Macaca fascicularis: one gene and its partner. The protein of the gene in region 1 interacts with the protein of each later gene in a biochemical or structural test. Links are inferred from orthologs where the notes say so. Each region holds a gene or a part of one and is shown on either strand. Other genes may lie near its edges. The genes, in order: F5 and PROS1.

Region 1 (13,031 bases):
ATGGCATGTAGAAAGACATGAGAGTGTGAAATCATTGAGAAGATGGTATGTTTCACAGTTAAGTGCATCTGAATCAAAAGGGGATTATGGAGGAGGCAGGAGATGAAGTTAGGGGCAGAAGAAGCTGCCCCTGTGTTGGTGACCTGGTGTGATAAGCGAAGAGATTTACTTTTTCTCCTGAAAACTTGTAAAGTTGATGCAGGATTTAAACAGAGAAGACCAAATAGATGAAAACTCTCTGTAAGGGAAACTGTGTTCATCAGATTGTTCATCAGAAAAATAACTTTAGTCTAGGAATTAAAGATGGGAACATCCCATCTCTTAAGGTTTAAAACATCCTTTCTCAATCTTCTCCACTTAGCCTGCGTATAAGTTCATAAAGTTTTGTTTATAACCTAATGGGGCTCTTCTTCATCACTCCTCATAGAAAGTAACTAGGGGCATCAGAGAGACCATTAGTGCTCAAATCAAGGTAATTGAAAGTGGCTATGTGAAAAAATCTGAAAGAGTTCTCATTGAATTTCTCTATTATTGACATAGGTCTCAACACCTATTCTTAACTGCTCAGAGGCAAAACCACGTGTTCCCTACTCTTATTCTTTCTCCATTTACAATGCTACCAAAACATTGAGGCTGTTTTTCCAAATCTTCATATATTCTCCTGTGAGTGGCCAAGACAATAGACAAAGGTCAATACTCTGCTTCAATACCAAAGAGATGTACTGAGAGCTACAGTGAATCCCTCCATGCAAAATGTGTGCTTGCTCAACCAAACCCAGAACCCAGAAGGCAGAGGCAAGAGCTCCTAGACCTTAATCTCTATGATCATGTAGGAATCACTCTAATCTTGATGTTTCCCCCAAGTCCTTTCTTTGACTTTGAGACATTTCCAGGGGACCCTGTAACAGTGCGGAAGGACAAATAGCTACCCATGTTCCAATATTTTTAATAACAAATACATTCATTTGTTGGGGATGGGAGCTTTTTTTCCTGGGCTTCTCCCAATTTGATTTTAGGCTTTCAAGTTTTCTATGGCCAAATAAGAGGAAAATGCTGCAGCCATAGCTGAAAATTCAACTATGAGAGTCTGTCATTTGGATAAAAATATGCTACCTGGGAGGAAAAACATCCACTGTTCTGTTGGTTTGGATTTACGTATGTGATTAGCTTGCCCAGCTAAGGGCTGAGGGCAAGTGACACAAGATGCCCTGAAAAGAAATGGAGTTATGTATATACTGAAAGGAAGGAGGAAGAAAGTGAGAGGACTCTGGAGTTAAATATTGTCAAATGTTCAATTTAGCCTAAAACACTTTCTACCTTTCAGGGAGAGACTGTTCCCAATATTCCCCTTTTAATGAGCCGACCTGAAAATCAGTCTACTGGTTTTCCCCAATAATTTCTATCCTTAATGACCCTCTCTTTCATCTTGTTTTTTTTTTTTTTTTAAATCAATCATTCTTATCTTCTCGCTTATTTTAGATGATGGGAAATGCCCCTTGAATCCTCACAGGTAAGGTAGAAATGTTTTATGATTGAGTAAATTTTGCTAGCTTGACTTTATAATTCACTGTAATATGTCAGAATGATTACATGCAATGCCTGCCTCCTTTTTACAATGTCTTTTAAAATGTCTTCTCTTCTATTCTGAAGTAAAATACACAGATAACAAATATTCTCATTATAACATAAAGTAGAAATAAAATGAAAAGTAATTTATAATAAAAACACGATGCAAAAACTTAGGCGCTGCACCAGCAGATGCAATGAGGTCATCAGAAACATGCACCTTCCAGCAGAATCACTAGGACAGCAGCAGCCATGCAGGTGGACTGATAGGGAAATGTTGTATTAGTGACTCAGAGAGCATTAGAGCTGTGGCCAACACTAATCTAATTTTTCAAAATGGTGAACAACTCTGGTAAAGAGTCCTAAAACCTGTGATAATTGTCCCTTGATTCATATGGCAATTACACTTTTTAAAGATGCAAAAAATGCTTAATATTTACATGTAAAGCGCTTGCGTTCCAGGCTCAGAGATTTTTAACCTGTATGAATATTGAGCAGATATTCCAAAGTTATGTGGGGTGTTGGACAATTCTTTTGTGTCCTGTACCCCCTGCTGTTTATAATCTAGCAAGAGTTTTCAAAAAGGGACAGTATGCCTCCAAGGGTATTTCTTTTGATTTTTGCAACGAACAAGAGCTCTACTGACGTTGAGTGGGCAGGAGGCAGGGGTGCTGGATATCTTTTAAAGACATTTCCATCCTGGAGGAAATAGAAATCCTTATATGAACCCTATTGTCACAGACATCCAGCACCCTTGCCCCATACCTACTCAGTATCAGTAGAACTCTTGATGGTTATAAAAATCAAAAAACACCCCGAGGTGGCACACTGCCCCTTTTGAAAACTACCGTTAGATTATTAAGTGTTAATGCCAAGAATTTTGTAACTACTTCTTCTCACCTAGAAGAGGTTGCAGCACCTTAGAGGGTATAACAGGTATTCAGTAGGTAAAACATCAACAATAACTTAGTGCGGGTACAAAATACAATGTAAATTACCCAGAGCTGTTAAGTGGGATATCGAATATTTCTTTGGCCTTTATTTTTCTTTCCTTTCTAAAGCAGAATTCCAGGGGTGGATGGTAATTTATGGTTTCTGGAAATACTATGTGTTGGACTGTGTTGTTGACAACTAAGCAGTATATGGTGGTCACCCTTGTGTTTCTGTTTTTTAGCCACCTAGGAACATATGGAGTTTTTACAAATGCTGCATTTGACCCGAGTTCTTAAGGTAACATACCTATAAAGATGTTTTTGAAGGAAATAGAACAATAGGGAAAAAAGGAAGACTATAAAGCTTAACTTTTCTTTATGTAATCATGTATTACGTTTTAAGTATGTATTAGATGTTCAGGCATGAAGGAAATTGTGTTGGCAGTAGGACACAGGTATGACAACGGAATGACAATAGAGTTCACAGAAGGATTTCCATTTCCTCCAGGACAGAAATGTCCTAACAAGACATAACTTATTTCAGGATGTGTGACATTTCCATTATTGGCTGCTAGGTGGTGATGATGTGACCTTTCCTGCAAAGCAGAAGTCAAGACTGCTGAAAAATGTTTTCGAACTGTTATGGAGTCAATTCCCTATGCTACCTGCTGGAAAAAACAAAAATAATCTGATGCTATCCCTCTCCCAAAAAATTCAGTGGGTAGCTGAGTGTCCTACAAAAAACCTGAATGGCAGAATATTCAAAATCTAGAAAGAAAAGATTATGCTGAGCCTCAGGGGGTAGATATGATGAGCAATTTTTTTCTTTCCTTTTTTTTTTTTAAGGAAATGATAATTATTTAAATTTCTTTGGTCTCATTTTCAGAGACCTGTCCTTTTCCTGGTCACCTCATTCAGCTCCATATGATCCTGTTGTGAACATCAAGTTTCCTGCTAGACTTGACTTAACTATAATGCATTTGCTGCAGTTTTCCATAAATACCTGTGAATCAAAGACATGGAATTATCTTAGATTAGCTCTGGACCAGACTGTTGGACCAGCTCTGGACCAACCCTGTTTCCTGAGTTTGGGATTGTGGTACAATCTCAAATTCTCAACCTACCACCCCTTCCTGCCCCACCCCTTCTCTTCCTGTAATACAAGCCACAGAAGCCAGGAGCAAATGTTTCTGCAGTAGTCTCCGTGCTTTGACTCACCTGTCACTTGAACTGCCAGTGAACCAAAGAGACTAGAGCATCTGACTCACAAGAAGACCAGACTGTGGAGAAACAAAAATACCTCTTTATTTTTTGATTGAAGGAAGGCTTTCTCTACTTTGTTGGAAAGCAGGTGGCATCTCTAACGGGAAGCAATTCCTGTAGCATCTTCTGGAGTCTCCAGTGGTTGCTGTTGATGAGGCCTCTTGGACCTCTGCTCTGAGGCTTCCAGAGAGCCCTCTGGATGGCACCAGAGGCTGCAGAAGGCCAAGAATCAAGCCAGGAGGATACATGTCACTGTGGACCTTCCTGCCACCAGCCACTGTCCCTCAAAGGACCCAAAGACCAATATTCAAATGTATAATTAAAAGAATTTTCCCCAAATGCCATGTTCCTCTATTGGATGGTTCGTTCAGTAAGGTCTGTGTATATCACATTGTTTGCCATCAGTGTAATAACACATAATTATGGTTGTCCTATTTACACCTCAACCATTCAGTCAGCCAGCAAATTTGTGTCACACACCCTCCACTCCAAGAGAAAATCAGAGAAATGGAAAAATTCTTCATCACCTGAATGTTTTACAGGGAAGAACAAATGTATTTTACATGTTCTTCAAATCCCATGTTTAATAAATAGGTCATTGAAAGTTATACAGTGTTTATCTGGAACTGATGTTAAAAAAAAATAGAGAGCCAAACATTATAGTAGTCATCTTGTCTCTGTAAAATGTAATGCAATAAACATGTCATGTATACTGTATATACATAAGCAAACATCCAAGTAAAAAAAGCAGCCTACTCAAAGGTTACAGTAATGTTGCAACAATGTTGGTAGTAACCTTGGGATTTAGGGACACAGTGCTTTCAAAACGTTTCTCTGATACACTGCCAGTAGCATCTCTGACTGCTTATTTATACGTCAATCAATAGGCTAGATGTTCTAGGACTTTGGTCTCAGCCCTATTTCCTGAGTCAGAATCTACATTTTGTAAAAGTTCCCCTGGGAATTCTGATGGGCTACCAACTTTGGGAGATACTGATAACATTGTAGATAAAGAAGTGTAAGCAACTGTTCAATCAGGGAGACAATAGATACCTACATGGAATAACCAAAGGTAATTAACATGATTATACAATTTGAATAGTGTTATAATAGTTCATAAAATGGAAAAGTCCATTGGAGCCCAGAATCTGGGAGACAGGCAGAACCCTGCACTGTAAAGAATGACCCAGCAAAGAGGAAGAAAATGGGCATTTTAAGTTGGTAGAATAATATCAGCACAGGAGGAAAGACAGAACACTGGGGGGAGTGGGGAGGGGGGAAGAGGCTGTTGATGAGCCTGACATCATTAACAGAGACCTCACATGAGGTGCCAGATTACAATTTATTGAATGTACTGAATGCATAAAGCATGACAGAAACTTGGAGCCATGCAGATACAGGGAACCCAGGACAAGTCATTATGATGTCTCACACGATATAATTCTCAGATTCTCTATTAACAGCAAAGTAAGATTTAAGGTGGTGTGAAACAACTAGATCCTTCAAGAAATACAAGAATACAAGGGGTCCTGGAGACAGGAAAATATAATCATAGTAATAAATTTGTGACTGACTGACTTTCTTTCTTTCTCTCTCTCTCTCTCTCTCTCTGGCTCTCTCTTCTTTCTTTCTTTTTTTTTTTTTTTTTGATGGAGTTTTATTCTTGTAGCCTAGGCTGGAGTAAAATGGCAAGTTATCAGCTCACTGCAACCTCCACTTTCCGGGTTCAAGCAATTCTCTTGCCTCAGTCTCTTGAGTAGGTGGGATTACAGGTGTCCACCACAACTCCCGGCTAATTTTTTGTATTTTTAGTAGATACAGGGTTTCACTATGTTGACCAGGCTGGTCTTGAACTCCTGACCTCAGGTGATTCACTTGCCTTGGCCTCCCAAAGTGCTGGGGTTACAGGCTTGAGCCACTACGCCTAGCTGCTGTGTGCTAAGTGCTGGAACTATAGTTTACAGTAGCATTTTATCCTCCCAACATACCCTATCAGGAAAAACCATTATTGTCATCCTTATTTCACAGATATCAAAACTGAACAGAGAGGTACAGTAACTTGCCCAAGACAACACAGCTAGTAAGTGAAACTGAAAACTGGACAACTGATTTTTTTTTCAGCCAAGTTCTTTAAGCCCTCTGCTATGCTGCAGCTTAGCTAGCTACAGGCCCTTATCAAGGCAGAACTGTGCCTTGATAGAGACCAGGAAGGCGATTCAGAGCAGTAGGCCTTGTCCATGTGTTTGTTCCCTTCTTCTCCACCACTTGAAAATAGTGTTTCAGTGCCGGGTAACAGGGCACAATACTCTTTTCCTCAGATCAAAAGGGGAGCCATCTGATTAAGGTGGTTGGGTACCACTGCACTTCACAGAAAGTTCTCCAAGTGTGAGCTTGTCCGGACCCAGGCAGGCCTCAGGTCAGTGGTAAGGGTCGACTGCTTCCGCGGTGTTGGCCGGTGGAAATGGAGGGATACAGCTTTGTCCGGCTCATGAATCCCTGGGCATTGTCCCGCCTGCTAGAGCCTCTGATCTCTGCCCCTTCTTCACCTGTAGTAAAACAGTCACTAGTTTGGTTGCTCTCCCTAATACCTCTGGTCGCTGGGAGCTGTGATCTCACCAAGCCCCTGCCAGGAAAAGCCCCAGAAAAAGGGGAGGGAGGGAGAGGCAGAGGCTGCCGCTGCAGTTTGCAAGAACCGCAGGGGAGAAGGACGCTGCCACCCACAGCCTTCAGAGCTCATTGCAGCTGGGACAGCCAGGAGCGGGGTTAGTCAGCAGCTCGACGAGCGGCTGCCCAGGTCCTGGGGTGGTGGCAGCCAGCGGGAGCAGGAAAGGAAGCATGTTCCCACGCTGCCCACGCCTCTGGGTCCTGGTGGTCTTGGGCACCAGCTGGGTAGGCTGGGGGAGACAAGGGACAGAAGCGGTACAGCTAAGGCAGTTCTACGTGGCTGCTCAGGGCATCAGTTGGAGCTACCGACCTGAGTCCACAAACTCAAGGTAACTCAGGTGTGGATCTGGGTGGGCTTCTCTAGAGAGGAAAATCTATTTCTTTAGACAACATTTCCTTTGCAATGTCATGGCTTTTTTTTTTTTTTTTTTAACTTCAGGTAAGTAAATATAACTAATAGGAGAGTACACTGAATTAAATAAACTGGGCGAATGCTAATTTTGCCTCCAATAATGTAGTTTATCATTCTGAGGGTATAGAAAGCATTCCATTTGATTGGTTAGATGATGCTTTCTTTTCAAGTTTATTTTCAATACAGTTTTGTTAGTATGTTTGTGTTGGCTTATATATTGGTGAATTCAAAGGCACCAGGGATTGCTTCCTCATTAGTGCTTTCTGGAAATTCCTGTTCCAGATTTTTAGTTGTTTAGTATTTTTATAAGACTCCTATTTACGTATTATTTGTTCCATTGTCTACATAGCTTCATCTTCTAAAACTAAAAATGAACACCTTGTGCTTTTTGTCATATAATTTTATTGCTGCCTTATAAATGATTTTCAAAATATCATCAGTTCTTGTATGTTTTTGTACTTTCACCTTTTTTCTGCTTCATATTTGACTTATTTATCCTTCTGAATGTGACTCTTCATTTTTTTCTCTCTGTTAATCATGTCCTGGGATATGACTTACTTATCCTACTGAATGTGACTCTTCATTTTTTTCTCTCTGTTAATCATGTCCTGGGATATGGTATGTAACTGAGAGGAGGTTTAATTCATATAAAATACTACCCTTGAGTTGCAAACTATTTTTTCTAATTGAAATGTTAAAAATAAGACTTCTCAGAAATTAACTAAATCATAGAGTCTATTCAATATTTCCAGTTAGTTATTTTTTAAATGGTCAACCTGCTAGTGTGACTCACTTTTTTCCCTAACATCACAGTTTATTATGAAAGATGTGTTCCTCTTTTACAATTACAAAACCAAAGCAATCTGCCAAAAACTAATGTAATATTTGAGATCTTTTAGTGTATAATATTAGCCTTTTTAAAACTCTCATTGTAAGTGGGTTATTTTGCAGGGTATTACACATGATCTTGGTCTTATAATAAGAAGAGATCCCTCCTTTTCAAAAATAATCATTTTAAATATTGTACTTCAAAGTAACAATCTAGGTCACACCCACACCCTTCGGAACTGCTGTAAGCTAAAACCCCAAGGAAAATAACAGTCCTTCTAACACTAATCTTGCCTGCTCATGAGAAGAATGCAAACTTGGTTGTTGGCTTTCTTGTAGCATGCTGGGTTTACGCTTGGGAGTTTTTTTCTCGTGTCTGTAGTTAGCATTGAAAATAGCAAGCAAAATGCTGGAGGCAGAATCACATAGGGCAAAGGTCTGATTCACATGGCGAGTACACAGGGAACCACGACTGGTCATTCTGTCCCCTCACCCTGTGGGTAAGTTTCCAAAGTTCTGGAGAGTCATTTCTCTGGTAGCAATTGTTGAGTCAAAACCATAGAAACATAACCCAGACAAACTGTCATATTGTTTAACCCTAAATCATATCACTTCTCTCTAGCATTTTCTTATGAAAAATCTAATCCATATATCTGGCTGCTTACACTAAGAACTTGTTCTAACTTGTCCAGCCCCTAGAGCTATGATGCTCACTAGATGAATATCAACGTAGACAACTCCATCTTTTGGCAAAGTGTATTTTAGCACAAAGCAGAAATCCGTCTACTTATTTCATATAATATTAGCAGGACAATGCCTTGTAAAGGTAAAATGTACATATTATTCTTGCTCCAAGTCAGAGATGAACACTTTCAAAAATTTCCTTAGAAACCTTGTTTAGTCACTCACATAATACAAAGAGATATTGAAGAAAAGATACACATACATTTTCCTCCTAGGGTTCTAGCTTTATATGATTTTGTGACTATGAACAAATCATCTTTAAACAATCCTTATAAATGAAAAACTCATTGTACCCATTGTTTGAATTCATATCATCTGTAACTTTTTAATCAGATAGATTATTTTCCAATAGAAATTGTTCAGATTAAAATAGACATACCTCAGTATAAATACACAGCATACATAGTAAAACTTGTTAGAAAACCTCTCTCTGTTGAAATTACTCCACATAAGAGACTGATATTTTTTAGTAAAGATTTTATACCATCATCTACATTCTGTATCAAAGATCTGGGGCAGGGGAGGACAATAACTTTTCAATTGTACTAAAAAAATAAATAAAAATGGACTTCCACATTAGGGACATTAGTATATAGCATCTTAGAATTCTTAAGTTATAAGAACGCTAAGAGGTCATTTAATTCATATTCAAACATATTAAGGTGTTTTAACCTTCTACTTTTTCCCTTGCCCTCAGCACCAATGACCTTACCAAGTAGTTGTCTAATTTCTACTTGAATACTGCCAGTGAATCCACTACCTTCTCTATCTAGCCATTCTAAAAGTACTTACATGCCTCCTTTAATCCTGCCCCCACATATTAACACAGTTCCTGTATTCCACATATTAAAATTTGTGAGCATTACTATTACTACAGATTTGTTTTTGCTTTCTGTGAAAACCTGAAGGCTAAAGACTAACTCTAATTATATTTACAAAATATTACTAGCTAACATGGATTAAGTATTTCTAGTGTGCCAGTTCTGTGCCTTTTGTACATATCAACTTATTTAAAATTATACAACAATTCTGTGAGGGAGATTTCAGTATTAATCTCATCTTATAGTTGTAGAAACTGAGGCACAAATGAATTAAGTAAACTTTTCAAGATAAAACAATAAGAGGTAGATGTAGTCTTCAAGTCCAGAGATACTGAATTCACAGCCTGCACCCTAGCCACCGTGCTGTATAGAAGGCATGGCATACGTGGGTGCTGTTATGTCTTGATTATGGCTGGGTCACTGTCCCCGCATTAGGAAGCAAAACAAAGCCACTCTGATCAAATTGAGACATTTGTAAGGTATTTTCTCTGAATTCTCTTTCCTTTTACCCTCATCTTTGAGTTTAAGACAAGGATAAGAATGATGTGTCTTTAGAGGTACAGAACAATAACAACAACAACAACAGCAACAACAGGAAAGTAACTCACCACTCACGACTCTCCCTGTTGTCTGTCCTCTCTCTAATATTTTTTTAAATCATGAATGCGGTGGTTTCACATTTTTTAATATTGGTTCTGCCACTTATCAACTGTGTCTCTTAGACAAGTTACTGACTGTTTCCAAAACAGATTTTTCATTTGTTTGTTTCCAATATGAATCCCAGGGCTTTTACCCCGTTAGCCATCTCTCACCTCTCAACTAGAAATAAATTCCACGAAATCAATACTTTTTCACAATTTCCCCAGTAGATTAAAACTATTTTTGATTGATCAGTTGAAAAACAGCTCATATATTTATTCATAAAGGATTTGGTCATATTTTAATAATATAAAATCTAAACCTACAGTTTGGGTTTATACTGTGATATTGGGTTCTTTTTAGAAAATTGATTCTGAGGAACGATATTAGGGTAGATTAACTTGTGAACAAATAGTTATCACAACAGGATATTTTTGAAGAGACCAATAATTATTTCATTAACTTTATTTATTGATCATATTTATAAAATGGTGGGCTTCTGAAATGCAATAAAGATACTGGTATTCTACTAGAAGTCTGAAGATATGAGAGATCTACTTTTTTTGTGATGTGAGAAATAGATGTTGAATATGCCTTTCAAATTAGTTTTTGTATTATATTTCCAGTTTGAATCTTTCTGCAACTTCCTTTAAGAAAATTGTCTACAGAGAGTATGAACCATATTTTAAGAAAGAAAAACCACAATCTAGCATTTCAGGTAAGCCTGAAATATACTTTTTAAATTTTAAAGATAAATTTCTATGGGTAATTTGGCATTCACATGCATCTAAAATTTCCATTTACTTGAAAATTTGTAGAAATATGTGTTTTCTTTTTTAACAAGTACTGGCTGCATAATATGTGGGGCCCCTTGTTCATATTACTGAACACTTCAAAGTAGTGACTGCAAAGCATTAAACCAAGCCAGGGGCCCTTCGGGGCATGGGGCCCTGTGAAACTGCCCAGGTCACATACCCATGAAGCTGGCTCTGTTTTTAACCTTGATTAAAATAGCTAAATAAAACTTATAAGTGTTTGAATTTTTATTCATTCATCTAAAAAACTGTTATTGAGTACCGGGTGTGGGCTGGGCATTGAAATAGGTAGGCACTGTGGATGCAACAGTGGATGAGACAGTCTCATATCCTGGGTTCACGGAGATTATGGTTTAGTTTAATGAGCACAGATGTGCCTCTGCAGAATGATTTTTTGCTTCCATTTGGCTCCCTAGATTCATTCAAAGTAACTATGTATGGCTGACTCTTTTGCGTCTCCTATTTATCTAGTGTGATATATACAATAGCCATAATTTTTAAAGAAAATCTCTTCTTTTTTCCTCATCTCTTCCTTTATCAAGAAGACTGGGTTGAATAGGGTTCTAGTATCTTAACTATGATACCATATTCTACAGGGATGAAGTGCTCAAGGGAGCACTTCCTCCAGTTGAGTCCCCTTGTCAGTAATTCACCTGTCCCTTTCCCCAACCAGATGAAGACCTGCTGTCTTTCCGAGAATCATCCTAGTCTGTCCTGCCTCTTCTGATCTCCCTTAATCTTCAATATTTACTCAGTGGGAGTCATTCTTTCCGTTAAAAATCAACAACCAAACCAAAACCAGACCAAACCATGTCCAGGTTAACTCCTATCTAGAAAAAGAAAAACAAAAAAATCTCCCCGTGACCCTGCCTGCCTTTTCCTTTTCTCTCCTTTCCTTCACTTCAGTTTTTGTGTGAGGACTCTGTATCATTCTCTACATTTCTTCGCCTATATTCTTTTCCTAATCTGCTTTAGTATGAATGAGTCTACTAAAATTACTCTTACAAAAGGGCACTCAGGACTTGAGGTGCCAGAGCCTATGTTCTTTTACTACTAGACATTACTAGGACATTTAACACTCTTCCTTTTTGAAGCTCTCTCTTTACCTGGTTTTTCTATTGTCACTTCCCCTGGGTTTTCTGACTTCTCTTACCACTCCTGCTCAGTATCCCCACCAGATATTCTCCCCTAGGGTTCCAATCTCACCCAAAACCAAAGCTTTCACTACGACCTACCCAGAAGCCACTTTCCCTCTGAAGCTACACTGACACCCCCTCCATATCAGCAGAATTAAGTCTTCCCTCTTCTATACACCCCTAGTACCTTGAATTAATCCCTATCTTCTAAAGATATTATGTACAAAGTATTTATAATGATGCTGACACACAATAGGCACTCAGTAGAAGTTAGCTACATTATTGTTATTGTTGCTGCTATTATTAATCATAACTTAGATCATATATATCATAGTATTATGGATATCTATATATCTATATTTCTCCACTCATTTATATATTCTTCATATGTGTTCATTTATATATTTATTTAATTTTAAACAAATCTGCATTTAAATATTCTTTTATTTTAAAATAATTGTGTATTGAGGCCGGGCATGGTGGCTCATGCACTTTGGGAGGCCAAGACGGATCACTTGAAGTCAGGAGCTCCAGACCAGCCTGGCCCACATGGTGAAACCCTGTGTCTACTGAAAATACAAAAATTAGTTGCACATGGTGGTGTGTGCCTGTAGCCCCAGCTACTCAGGAGGCTGAGACATGAGAATCACTTGAACCCAGGAGGTGGAGGCTGCAGTGAGCAAAGATCGCATCATTTCACTCCAGCCTGGGTGACAGAGCGAGACTCCATCTCAAAAAAAAAAAAAAAAAAAAAAAAATTGTGTATTGAGAACCTACCACATTCCAGGTTCTGGGATTCAGTGAATAAGACATGGACCTTGACTTCCAGGAGTCAACCAGCTACTGGGGATAACCTATAGGTAGACAAGCAATGACAGTAGAGTAACAAGGAAGAACTATGATGAGGATTTTGTAGTAGGACATAGGAGACCTATCTCCAGTCTGGTGGGCAGGAAAGTACTTCTCTTTCTAGGTTGATAGCTGAAAAAAGAGTAGGATCTTGGAAATCCAAGTGGGGAGGCAAGGCATTGGAGGGTAGATGCATTTTAAACCAAGGCACAGAATGTTTCAAAGTTTGGAGGTGAGAGTATGGTATGTTTGTGGAACCATAACTGGATCAGCACAGCTGGAGCACAAACTTCAGGGAAGGAATTAACAAGAGATGCAACTAGATGGAGATCAGGCATCCATGCTAGGCTTTATAGTGAGAG
Region 2 (12,401 bases), on another chromosome or scaffold:
GGGGCTGGAAGTTGATTACATTTTTCCATTTTATCTCCTCTGTTATTAATTATGCTTCTCAAACTTCTTTTACTCATTTCTTTTCTTTTCTTCTTTTCTTTTTTTTTTTTTTTTTTTTTCTTTCGGTCAGGATCTCACTCTCTAGCCCAGGCTGGAGTGTGGTGGGGTGATCATAGCTCATTGCAGCCTTGAACTCCTGGTCTCAAATCCTTCTTCCTTTCTGCCTCAGCCTCCTTAGTAGCTAGGGCTGCAGGCATGTAGCACCATGTCCAGCTAATTTTTAAATTTGTTTGTAGAGATAGGGTCTCACTTTGTTGCCTAGATAGTTTTGAACTCCTGGCTTCAAGTGATCTTTTTACCTTGGCCTTCCAAAGTGCTGGGATTACAGGCATGAGCCACTGTGCCAGACCTCATTTCCTCTATTTTTTTGTGTGTGTTGTTTCTGCCTTACATTTTAATATTATACATTATAAACTCCATGATATGTTAATTTATAAATAGATTATCAAATGAGAAAATATTGTTTTATTGTTTTATTTATTTATTTTTGAGACAGAGTCTTGTGCTGTCATCTAAGCTGGAGTGCAGTGGCACAATCTCAGCTCATTGCAACCTCTGTCTGCTGGATTCAAATCATTCTTGTGCCTCAGCCTCCCAAGTAGCTGGGATTACAGGCCTGGCTAATTTTTTTGTATTTTTGTGGAGACAGGGTTTTGCCATGTTGCCTAGGCTGGCCTCAAATTCCTGGCTGCAAGTGATCCACCCACCTTGGCCTCCCAAAATGCTAGGATTACAGGCATGAGCCATTGGCACCTGTCCCAGAAAACATTGTTCTGTATTTTCTCATATGTTTACCATTTCTGGCATTCCATATTCTTTTTTATAGATCCACATTTCCATCTGACAACATGTTCCTTCTGCCTGAAGAAATTCCTTTAACATTTCTTATACTACATATCTGATGAAGATGGATTTTTCTCTCTCTCTTTTTTTTTTTTTTTTTGAGACAGAGTCTGGCTCTGTCACCCAGGCTACAGTGCAGTGGCACAACCTCAGCTCACTGCAAGCTCCATCTCCCGGGTTCATGCCATTCTCCTGCCTCAGCTCCCGAGTAGCTAGGACTACAGGTGCCTGCCACCACGCCCAGCTAATTTGTTGTATTTTTTGTAGAGACAGGGTTTCACCCTGTTAGCCAGGGTTTGATTTCCTGACCTTGTGATCCGACTGCCTTGGCCTCCCAAAGTGCTGGGATTACAGGCATAAGCCACCGTGCCCAGCCTTTCTCATATTTTTTAATTAAAAAATAGTATATTGCCTTTATTTTGGGGAGATATTTTTATTGGGTAAAGACTTCCATGTTGATAGTGTTCCATCAGTATGTCAAAGATGTCTGTCCATTGTCCTTACACTTGAATAGATGCTGATGGGAAAACTACTGTTATTCTTAGTTTTTTTTTTTCTTCTATGTATGCACTGTGTTTTAGATTTCTCTTTTTCCCTGGTTTTCTCTAATTTGACATAGTATTTTTAGGTTTATCCTGATTGGTGTTTAGTGGGCTTCTTGGATCTGCATGTTCATAGTTTTCATCAAATTTAGAAAACGATTTACTATTATTTATTCAAATTTCTTTTTTCTTTTTCCCTGCTATCTTTCCTCTTCTCTTGGAATGTCCATAACATGTATTAGGCCACTTGATATTGTTTAACGAGTCATTCATGCTCTAATTATTTATCAGTTTATTTATGTATTTATTGTTTTTATACTTCTTATCTGTCCTTCCTTAATTTTGGATAGTTTTTATGTCTTCAAGTTCACTCTTCCTTTCTTCTCCCATGGATAATTTACTTTTAATCCCATTTAGTGTATTTTTCATTTTATATAGTCTATTTTTCATTTCAATACATCCCATTTGGGTCTGTTCCACATCTGCTATTTTATTTTATTTTTTTTCATCATGCCTATATTTACTACTGGAACATGTGGAATGCACTTAAAATAATTTTATTTATTTATTTTTCTGATTTTTTTGTCATGTCTTTCATTTTAGATATATTTTCATCTACTGATTTTTCTCTTGGTTATAATTTTTTTTTCTTGTTTCTTTACATGCCTATTATTTTCTTAATTTAATTTAATTTTACATTATGCTTTATTTTATTTGGATATAAGATCTCACTGTTACCCAGACTGGAGTCCAGTGGTATGATCATAACTCACAGTAACTTCAAACTCCTGGTCTCAAGCTATCCCCCTACCTTAGCCTCTCAAATAGCTGGGACAACAGGCATGGACTACCACAGGTGGGGAATTTATTTTTTAAATTAATTTTAAAGATTACATCTCGGTATGTTGCCAAAACTGGTCTTAACTCCTGGCCTCAAATGATCCTCCCTCATCTGCCTCCCAAAGTGCAGAGTGAACCACTGCATCTGACTCCTACTTATTTTTAATTGTTTACTGAACCAAACAAACAATACTATTCTCAGTATAAATAGAAAAAAAGAACTTAGAACTTTCAGTTTGGGCTAAGATGATGTAACAGGGACCAAGTTTATCCTCCTGCCTTAAATAAGTAGAACTTCAGTCTGAGTATATAAAATAATGGTTATGAACATTGGAGAACAGGAAGCAGAACACTGTGAGTCCTAAGGGAAAGAAAATAAGCTTACAGCTTATGTTGCTGGGTCCTGGATTTTTTTGTCTTCTTCCAAATAGTGTTTAATTTTGTTGTGGCATTTAGGTAACTTATGTGGAATACATTAAAAACAAATCTTTTGAGGTTTGATTTTAAGCTCTATTAAGGCAATCCTGAGTAGCCATTAGCTTAAAACTAATTTAGCTTCAATAATAAGTCTATGTCCTTGTGAGGAGTCTACCTGATGCCCTTTGTACTATGAAATATTTTAGGTCTAGGTAGTCTAAAACAAACTATCCCTATCCCTCTATGAGCTCTGGAAATTTTCCTGTGCAAATCATCATTCAGCCAAAGACCTTAGGGGATCTTTTTGCAGATCTCTGGAGACTCTCTTTCTCTTTTTCTCTCTCTCTCTTTTCCTCTCTCTTTCCATACACACATACATTTTTTTTTCCCTCTCTCTGCCTTTATAGTACTCTGACCAGCAAAATTCTAATTTGATCTCCCCAAACTCCAATATTTGTTTTCTCAACCCAGGGAGACCACTGGGCTCTGTTTGTGTTTCTTGCACTGTTGCATAGAAGCTATCTCCAGGCACTAATGTGGTCCAATTGTAGGTCTCAGCTTGTTTATTTTCTTTTCTTTAGGAATCATGATGTTCTCCTTCCTGTTCTCCAATGTTTGAAAAATAATTATTTTACACAGTTAGACTGAAGTTCTACTTATTTAAGGCAGGAAGATAAATCTGTTCCTTGTTACATCATCTTAGCCCAAATTGAAAGTTTTAAGTTCTTTTTTCTTTTCTTTCTTTTTTTTTTGAGAGAGAGCCTTGCTCTATCACAGTGGCATGATCTTGGCTTACTGAAGCCTCTGCCTCCCAGGTTCAAGCAATTCTTGTACTTTAGACTCTGGAGTAGCTAGGACTACAGGAGTGTGCCATCATGCCCAGCTAAGTTTTGTATTTTTAGTAGAGACAGGGTTTCACCTTGTTGCCCAGGCCCCAAGTGATCGGCCTGCCTTGGTCTCCCAAAGTGCTGGGATTACAGGTGTGAGCCATCATGCCTAACCTCTTTTTTCTCTTAATGTTGAGAATAGTATTGTTCTGTCTACCTCATGGGATTGTTCTAAGGCTCAAATGAGGTAATATATTTGGAAAAATATCTAAATTACAGTTACAAAATACTGTATATATTTGCAATGTAAAAGTAGTGTTATGGAATCTTTGGGATGTTGCTTTTCTGTCTGGAAACTTCTGTAGCCAGTAATGCCTTTGCCCGAGTTCTTGTCCTGCATCGATGAAAAGTGAGGTATGCAGAAAAGTAGAGAGTGAGCAAGATGAACAGGAGCGTTACTGAGCATTAGAACAGCTTAGAGGACACCCTCAGTGGGTAGCTCATCTCTGTAGGCAGGTTGTCCCATCAAGTGTTCAGCTCTCAGCGGAGAGGAGGCCTTGAAGCGGGTGGCTCCTCTTTGTAGCCAGGTCATCCCATTGTCTCTGCAGCTGTCAGTAGAGAGGAGGCCTAGAGTGGGTGGCTCCTCTCTGCTGCTGGTTGTCCCATCAGCAGCTCTCAGCAGAGGAGGGCCTGGAGAGGGTGGTTCTTCTCTGCAGACAGGTCATTCGATGTCTGCAGCTCCCAGTAGAGAGGAGGCCCTGGAGGTGGTAGCTCCTATCTGCAGCTGGTCGTCTGTATATCTGTTCTGTTCTGGCTGAGTCTAGGGTTTTTATAGTCTTTAGAGTGGGAAAGTGCATGCAGACTGGTCCATGGGCTGCCACGGGTGGGCCCAGGAAAAAGCACCAAGAGTTCCCCCTTCAGTCAGCAGGACTGGCAGCCCAGCCCATAGGCCTCAGGCCTTTCCCAGTCTGAAGGTGGGACTTCACGGGGATCCACCCTTTTCCACACAGGCAGCTGTCTACCTCTTGCCACTGTGCATGGCACCCAGGCTCTTTGTGCCAAGGGGGTGCCTGCAGGCCAGCGCTGAGCTGCCCTCAGCACCCCTGTCAGCTCCCCTCCCATGCTTGTTGGAGCCCAAAGACTGGAGGGGGCTGGGGGCTGGCATTTTAGCACTGCCCTGAGCCTGTGCCCACCCGGCCAGGCTGCAACAGCAGCCGGCTTCAGCCCCAACCTTGTTCCATGACCAGAGTGGGTGCCAGCAGTGAGGAGAGACCAGGAAGCAGGAGCAGGCATTTCTGAGCCTGTGGTGGGCACAATGGGCCTTCCCAGGCCCCCAAGAGCACAGAGATGCCCAGGTTTACAGCCAGGCTTGGGCAGCTGCAGCTGCACTCAGGGGACTCTTGTCCCACCAGTTTGGAAGGGGTGGGGCTCCCCTTTGTCCTTGGCTTTCACCAGCTCTGTGGCGCGTGCAGCCCCAGCCGTGCCTCTTAGATCAGGGTGGATGCCTGCTTCAGGGAGAAGCCTGGAAGCGGGAGCAGGCCCCCAGGAGCACAGAGACACCCGGGTCCAGAGCCACGGCAGGGAAGCTGCAGCAGCATCCGGGGAGTGTGGGGCTCCTACCTGCTCTGTGGAGAGTGGGAGACCCTGGCCCACCTCCCTACTGCAGCTGGCATCTTGACAGCAGCCACTCTAGATGGGCCACTGCTGCCATCTGTAGTTTATTTTTACAAAATAATTATAAAGATTTACCTAATGGACTCACTTTTTAACTTAAGAAAAGTATTATTTAAAGGGAGGAGTTGTGCTTTTTTTTTTTTTTCCATTGGTTCCAGGCTTCAGGATTTTTATTATAGTGCACACAATTTTCTTTTACCATGACATGAGGTAAAAAAAAATAAATAGATGTCTATTTCCTTCAGCCATTCCAGACCAGTGTAGTCCTCTGCCATGCAATGAAGATGGATATATGAGCTGCAAAGATGGAAAAGCTTCTTTCACTTGCACTTGTAAACCAGGCTGGCAAGGAGAAAAGTGTGAATTTGGTATGTATAACAACCCCCGCCCCCCAGCTCATCAGGATTGGTCTCCTGGAAAGTTCTCTGCAGGTTATATTACTTTAAAAATATTTCGTTTTTTTCCTGTTTTAGATATAAATGAATGCAAAGATCCCTCAAATATAAATGGAGGTTGCAGTCAAATTTGTGATAATACACCTGGAAGTTACCACTGTTCCTGTAAAAGTGGTTTTGTTATGCTTTCAAATAAGAAAGACTGTAAAGGTAAGAGCAGGATGGTAGAATTAAAACGCATTTACTGTATGAGAATAATCCCAGTTAGAGAAATTTTACTAGCACATTTTTGGAAAAATGATTGTAAGTGCTTATACGAACACATTTTTATCCACATTGAAGCCTTGTGATACTGTGGAACTGCTTTTTAATTTTTGTTTGTTTTTGAGAGAGAGGGTCTCACTCTGTCTCCCCGGCTGGAGTGCAGTGGCTCTATCACGGCTCACTGTAGCCTTGACCTCCCGAGCTTAATTGATCCTCTGACTTCAGCCTCCCAAGTAGCTGGGACTACAGGTGCATGCCACCGTGTCCAGCTAATTTTGTTTTGTATTTTTTGTAGAGATGGGGTTTCACCATGTTGCCCAAACTGATCTTGAATTCAAGTGAGCCTCCTGCCTCAGCCTACCAAAGTGTCGGGTTTACAGGTGGGAGCTCTGTGCCTGGCATGTATTTTAGTTTACAGTACTGATAACGTGATTTTTAAAAATTTTCTTATTGTATGTGCGTGTACACACTTGTGTGCATGTTTCAATAAGGAATTTCATTATAAAATGACATTTCAATGCAAGTCTTTGCATGCTACAAACTTTGCAAAATCATTGTTTATCCTCTGTCTTCAGACATTATATTTTTTATTTTCTTCTAGTAAGATAAGTAGCCATAGAAAGAAATCCACTGCAATAACCTCTTCCATTGTATTTTATTTTTCCTTTTCAGAAATACTTTTCTGATTTCCAGTATCAATCCTTCATCTGGCACTTCATTTCCTGTTGTGGTTTTGGGAAAGAAAAGAAGATCTAGTTTCTTTCTCTTTCTGCCTTTAAGATCATATCACTGGTCATAACTCGTTTTCTTCTTCAGTCTTAAATATTCCCCGTTAGTTTAGCTTTCTAACAAATCATTTTACTAGTGTATTTCTTTTATTTTTCATTGTTTTCCTATCCCTACATTTTGACTTTTTTTTCTCTCTGTATGCTGTCTTTCAGTTTGGCTGTGTTAATGCTATGACTAAATCTTCAAATATTCATACCAGGTGTGTGGATGACTAAAAGCAAGATTTCCTACCTGGACTTAAAATTTTCCTTTAGAAACTGGATACAATTAATATCAACATTCTCTCCTCCACTACTTTTTTTTTTTTTGTTTTGCTAAAATGTTAAAAAAAAAAAAAAGGAAGTTAAAATGTGAATTTCTTGTTCAACTCTTTATTTTATATATGTTTTGGTAAAGCCCTAAATTAGATTCGTATTCAAATCATCTATCTCTTACTGAATAACAGTGTTTAATATGATAAACTTTACTATAGTATTATTTAAACTGCAGTTAAATGACTCTAAAGTGAACACATTAACAACAAATTCTTCTAAACAGTTACCCAATGTGTGACCATGTATCTTTCTTATCCGCCTATTTGAAGGTCTGTTTGTGTTTGGATTTTGAGACTACTTAGAATAAGACTGTCATTAGAACATGAGTTATAGAAAAACCATCACGATGCTGGATACCATATGCATTTTATAAACAAATAGTACCCATTGATACTTCTACACTTAAATACTTTAATAGTCTCTTTCTAAAGAATTTTTGTTTTTATTTATTTATTTTTTAAGATAGGGTTTTGCCTGTCACCTAGGCTGGAGTGCAGTGGAATGATCTCAACTCACTACAGCGTCCATCTCCTGGGAGGTCCTCCCACCTCACCGTCCTAAGTAGCTGGGACTACAGGCATGCACCACCATGCCTGGCTAATGTTTGTAGCTTCTGTACAGATACAGACGGAGTTCTGCCACATTGTCCAGGCTGATCTCAAATTCTTGGGCTGAAGCTTCAACCTCACAAGGTCATGAGATTACAGGCATGAGCCACCGCACCTGGCCAAATTTGTGACTTTTTAAAAACTCAAAAGTATTTTAAATTCTTATCCACTCAGTTAAAACACACATATATGTGTAAATGATTACAAAAGTGCTCTTATTAATAGGAATGTTCTTGATGACCACATCTGTTCTTATATTTATTTACATTATTGTTTACCCATGATATGTAAGTAATAGAGTAGAAAACAGATAGAAGAATATATGAAAAACTATTACAGCCAGGCGTAGTGGCTCACGCCTGTAATCCCAGCACTTTGGGAGACTGAGATGGGCGGATCACGAGGTCAGGAGATCAAGATCATCCTGGCTAACACGGTGAAACCCCGACTCTACTAAAAATACAAAAAAATAGCCGGGCGAGGTGCCGGGCGCCTGCAGTCCCAGCTACTCGGGAGGTTGAGGCAGGAGAATGGCGGGAACCCGGGAGGCGGAGCTTGCAGTGAGCCGAGATCGCGCCACTGCACTCCAGCCTGGGCCACAGAGTGAGACTCCGCCTCAAAAAAAAAAAAAAAAGAAAGAAAGAAAAAACAACAACAAGAAAAAACTATTACAATGGGACCTTTGCCACGATGTAGAAATGCTTGGGATCCAGTTGCCAGTAACTGTCTAAAGATGAAAGAATAAAACTTTTCTCTTCTTGTTCTTCTTCTTTCTTTTCTTTCTTTTTTTTTTTTTTTTTCGAGACAGAGTCTCGCTATGATGCCCAGGCTGGTATGTAGTGTGAGCTCGGCTCACTTCAACCTGTGTTTTGCGGGTTCAAGTGATTCTTCTGCCTCAGCCTCCCGAGTAGCTGGGACTACAGATGCACGCCACCATGCCTGGCTAATTTTGCATTTTTCGGTAAAGACGAGGTTTTGCCATGTTGACCAGGCCGCTCTTGAACGCCTGAGCTCAAGTGATCTGCCCGCCTTGGCCTTCCAAAGTGCTGGGATTACAGACATGAGCCACTGTGCCCAGCTGAAAGAATAAAACTTTACAATCAGACATCAGATGTCGGTGTGGAGTCATAAAACCAATGTACTGTAACTTAAACTTGTATGATCTAAATAATTCCCTGCAATATGCCTCAAACCAAATGCACTTAGTGACATATTTTCACTGATTTTATTTTATTTTATTATGTATTTATTTAGTGACAGGGTCTCCCTCTGTCACCCAGGGTGGAGTGGAGTGGTGCAATCATAGTTCAAGGCACCCTAACTTCTGGGTTCAAGTGATCCTCTTGCCTTATCCTCCTTAGTAAGAAGAACACATGCCACCACTCCTGGCTAATTTTTTCTCTTTTCCTTTTTTTTTTTTTATATAGAAGTGGGGTTCCACCATGTTGCTCAGGCTGGTCTCGAACACTTTGGCCTCCCAAAGTAATAGGACTACAGCACTGCCACCATGGCCGGCCACTCCTGGCTAATTTAAGAAAAAAACTTTGTAGAGACAGTGTCCCACTGTTGCTCAGGCTTACTTTATTTCAAAAACATAGTTTTTAGCTCTTTTTAAGACATTGGATATTTTACTTTGAATTAATTAAAGATTCACATGAAGTTGTAAGAAGTAATACAGAGAGATGCTATATACCTACCCTTTACCTCGTTTTCCCTCAATGGTAATATTTTACAAAATGATAGTACAATTTCACACTCAGGATGTTGACAATGATACAGTCAAAATATAGAAAAATTCCTACAAGGAAACTGGTTTTATTATTTTTGTGCAAGTTATTTTAAATAATATCCTAAATTTTGACTATTAATCTGGAAAAAAGGTGGTCAACTTTTGGAATAGAAAACATATTTTCTGTTCTGAATTTGTCTTTCTCCAGAGAGTACGCAGAAGAGATAATAATTACATCTCCATTGAACTATTTCTGCCGCATGTTTTGTTTTCTTCACAGGTGCTCATCGAGTAACTAGTTACTATCAATGTGTTGTCTCCTTCATTTTGCACTATAATATATGCATCTGAAATTTCTGGAATATTCATTTAGCACTAAATTCATATTGGATTAACTGCAGATTTATAAGTACTTAGAGACCTTAATCTTGTTTTAAATTTGAATCACTATCGTCTGCTTTAGACAATAGTAGTGTACAAATTAGATGTTTGTTCATTTCCAAAGAAACAAGATAGAATAGATGAGCCATCCCATGTACAAAAAATAATTATGATAATGTGGAGTGAATCTGTTTTCAAGACCTCTTTATTTTCATACCACAACCTGGCAGATAAGAATATTTTTAAAGCTTTCTCCTTCTTAACATAACTAGAAAGGAACATGGCAAACATGAATCAAATTCCCTATGCATTTGTAGAAAGAAATCATATTTAGTGAACTAACATATGATGATAGATTTAATGTTTTTTTGTCCGAAGGCCAATCTGTTATCTCATTACGTATATTAAACTAGTCCAGGAAACACAAATCAAGGGTTCTTTGCTAGTGTCTGCTGGTATGGGAAAAATGTTTTTTAATATGGTTATTTTATTTATAGATGTGGATGAATGCTCTTTGAAGCCAAACATGTGTGGCACAGCTGTGTGCAAGAACATTCCAGGAGATTTTGAATGTGAATGCCCTGAAGGCTACAGATATAATCTCAAATCAAAGTCTTGTGAAGGTAGAATGATGGTAGTATCATTACTGATTGTGGAGAGGGTGTGTGTGAAGCCTGAACTGATATTTGAAAGCATTGGTTTTGTTTGACTTCAACAGTCATACTTTCTTATCCCTAGTATAGATTGTTCAATTGGGTAATCATTGGCTTTCTTCCAGAGTAAAAGTGTGTAAGACACATGGTCTTTAAGTTTAGTGTTATGCGCGCCAATTGGCCCTTTGCGCTACCTATGAATTGGAGACCTCCATGTGTGATATAAACATATTAAACATATTTTCACGTCATTTACATTATATTCAAAGGTAAAGAGAATTTCAGTTTGGAAGGAAAAACAGTAGATAGAAAAGAAAGACACAAGCTTAAAAGTCATCTGAGTGAGACAATGAGCATGGTTATAAACTTTAGTTTTTATTCCAAGCTTTTCAGTGATTTTTCAGGGCATATATAAATAAGTCATTTATTCTAAAATAAAAAGTGACACAGTTCTATTATCTCATGATAAAGAAATGATAACAATACACTAGAAATTTAAGAAATATTGATCAGTAATGTCAGAGCCTGTGGGTTTGGGGCAACCCCTTGAAGGTGCTGTTGCTTCGAGTGACTGCAGTGGCTCTGCCCTGTGTGCCCCAGGAAGCTTCAACATATTATAGTTGTTTGTTTGTAGGTCTGTTTATCATGATATACAGATTATTCCATACCTTCCTTTGGATTTTTTAAAATTTTAAAACAGATTTAATGCCATGGCTGGAACTAATCAATACTAATTTTTCTATTGTGGTTGTGTGTGTGTGTGTGTGTGTGTGTGTGTGTATGTGTGTGTATATACATACATAAGAAAATATTATATATATATACACACATACATATATGTATGTATATTCACACTCATGTATAGTGTACCTTTTAAAAAATAGATATGTGGGTACAAGTACAGTTTTAATGTACCCTTTTAACCATTTTTAAATGTACAATTCGGTGGCATTAATTACATTCTTGCCATTGTGCAGCCATCACTGCTATTTCCAAAACTTTTTCATCAGCCCAAACAAAAACTTTTAAGCAGTAACCATTAAGCAGTGAGTTTTCTTTTATTAGTTACCTTGATGGAAGTAACTTCTACTCTTGTTTCTTGTCTCTATGAAGTTGCCTAAATCAATAATAATTTTACAATGTATTTTTTAACTACGTATGCTGCTTTTGAGATTTTGATGTCCTATCTCCTTTTGCATTCACCAAAAATATTCCCCTGCCCACCACACACACATTTCTCCTTTCCCACCATTGCAGATAGAAATTACCACGGATAACTCTAGACATCTGCAGAATTATCATTAACCAACTTCATCCCCTGTACTGTAGTTTTATTTAACGAATGACATATTTTATAAAAGATTTATATATGACTCTTATCTGATCTATAAATTTAATAATATGCAATTTTAATACTATTGAAGGATTATTAATTTTGGGAATCTATTTTAAATTATTTTATGGGAACATATTCAATAATAGCATTTATGAACTTGTGGAGTTTTAAAGGTCATAGGGCATAGCCAATGAAAATGTAAATGATCTTATATAGTTCTGAGATAGATGTTTGCTTCAACATAATATTATAAATTTCCAAGAATGATTTTCTCAAAATATGGAGTAGGGACAGGGACCATATAGATTTCGTAATATGGGAGATTACATCATAGCGAGGTTTAAAAAAAAAAAAGAACAGAAAGATAACAAATAAAGATATTTCCATAAATTCACTGCCACCATTAATTATTGCATTATGAGAGGCCCAATGTTCTTGATATTGTCATTTAATTCCTGACTGTATCAGCCTTCAGTTAAAGCGGTCTTTTCTTCCCTCCCCTTCCCTACCTTTCTTTTCCTTTACTTCTTCCACATCTTCCTCTCCCTTCCTCTTCCCCTTCCCATTTCTTTTTTCTTTTTCTCAAAGCAATGAGTTGTGAGGTAATCTCAAGGGAATTCAAATAATCAGAAATGACAGTTAAGTTGAGATTCTCTATCTTTTTTTCTTCAAATTCAAAATGAGAAATTTGGTAGAATTGTTATACTGAATCACCAAAAGTTATAAATT

What was found.
Region 2: the proteins of F5 (region 1) and PROS1 form a complex in vitro, tested with the Homo sapiens proteins (2 studies listed by BioGRID). The link is inferred for Macaca fascicularis from reciprocal best matches to the Homo sapiens genes F5 and PROS1.

The regions. Positions count from the first base shown.
Region 1 is NC_088375.1:27,210,897-27,223,927, reverse strand, and holds the start of F5 (coagulation factor V), read left to right. Parts: upstream 1-6,489; 5' UTR 6,490-6,596; coding exon 6,597-6,754; intron 6,755-10,495; coding exon 10,496-10,587; intron 10,588-13,031. Other genes in the region: SELP (P-selectin), read left to right, coding at 1,480-1,510, 2,741-2,795. UniProt on the Homo sapiens protein: Central regulator of hemostasis. It serves as a critical cofactor for the prothrombinase activity of factor Xa that results in the activation of prothrombin to thrombin.
Region 2 is NC_088376.1:188,832,422-188,844,822, forward strand, and holds part of PROS1 (vitamin K-dependent protein S), read left to right. Parts: intron 1-5,448; coding exon 5,449-5,571; intron 5,572-5,676; coding exon 5,677-5,808; intron 5,809-10,180; coding exon 10,181-10,306; intron 10,307-12,401. UniProt on the Homo sapiens protein: Anticoagulant plasma protein; it is a cofactor to activated protein C in the degradation of coagulation factors Va and VIIIa. It helps to prevent coagulation and stimulating fibrinolysis.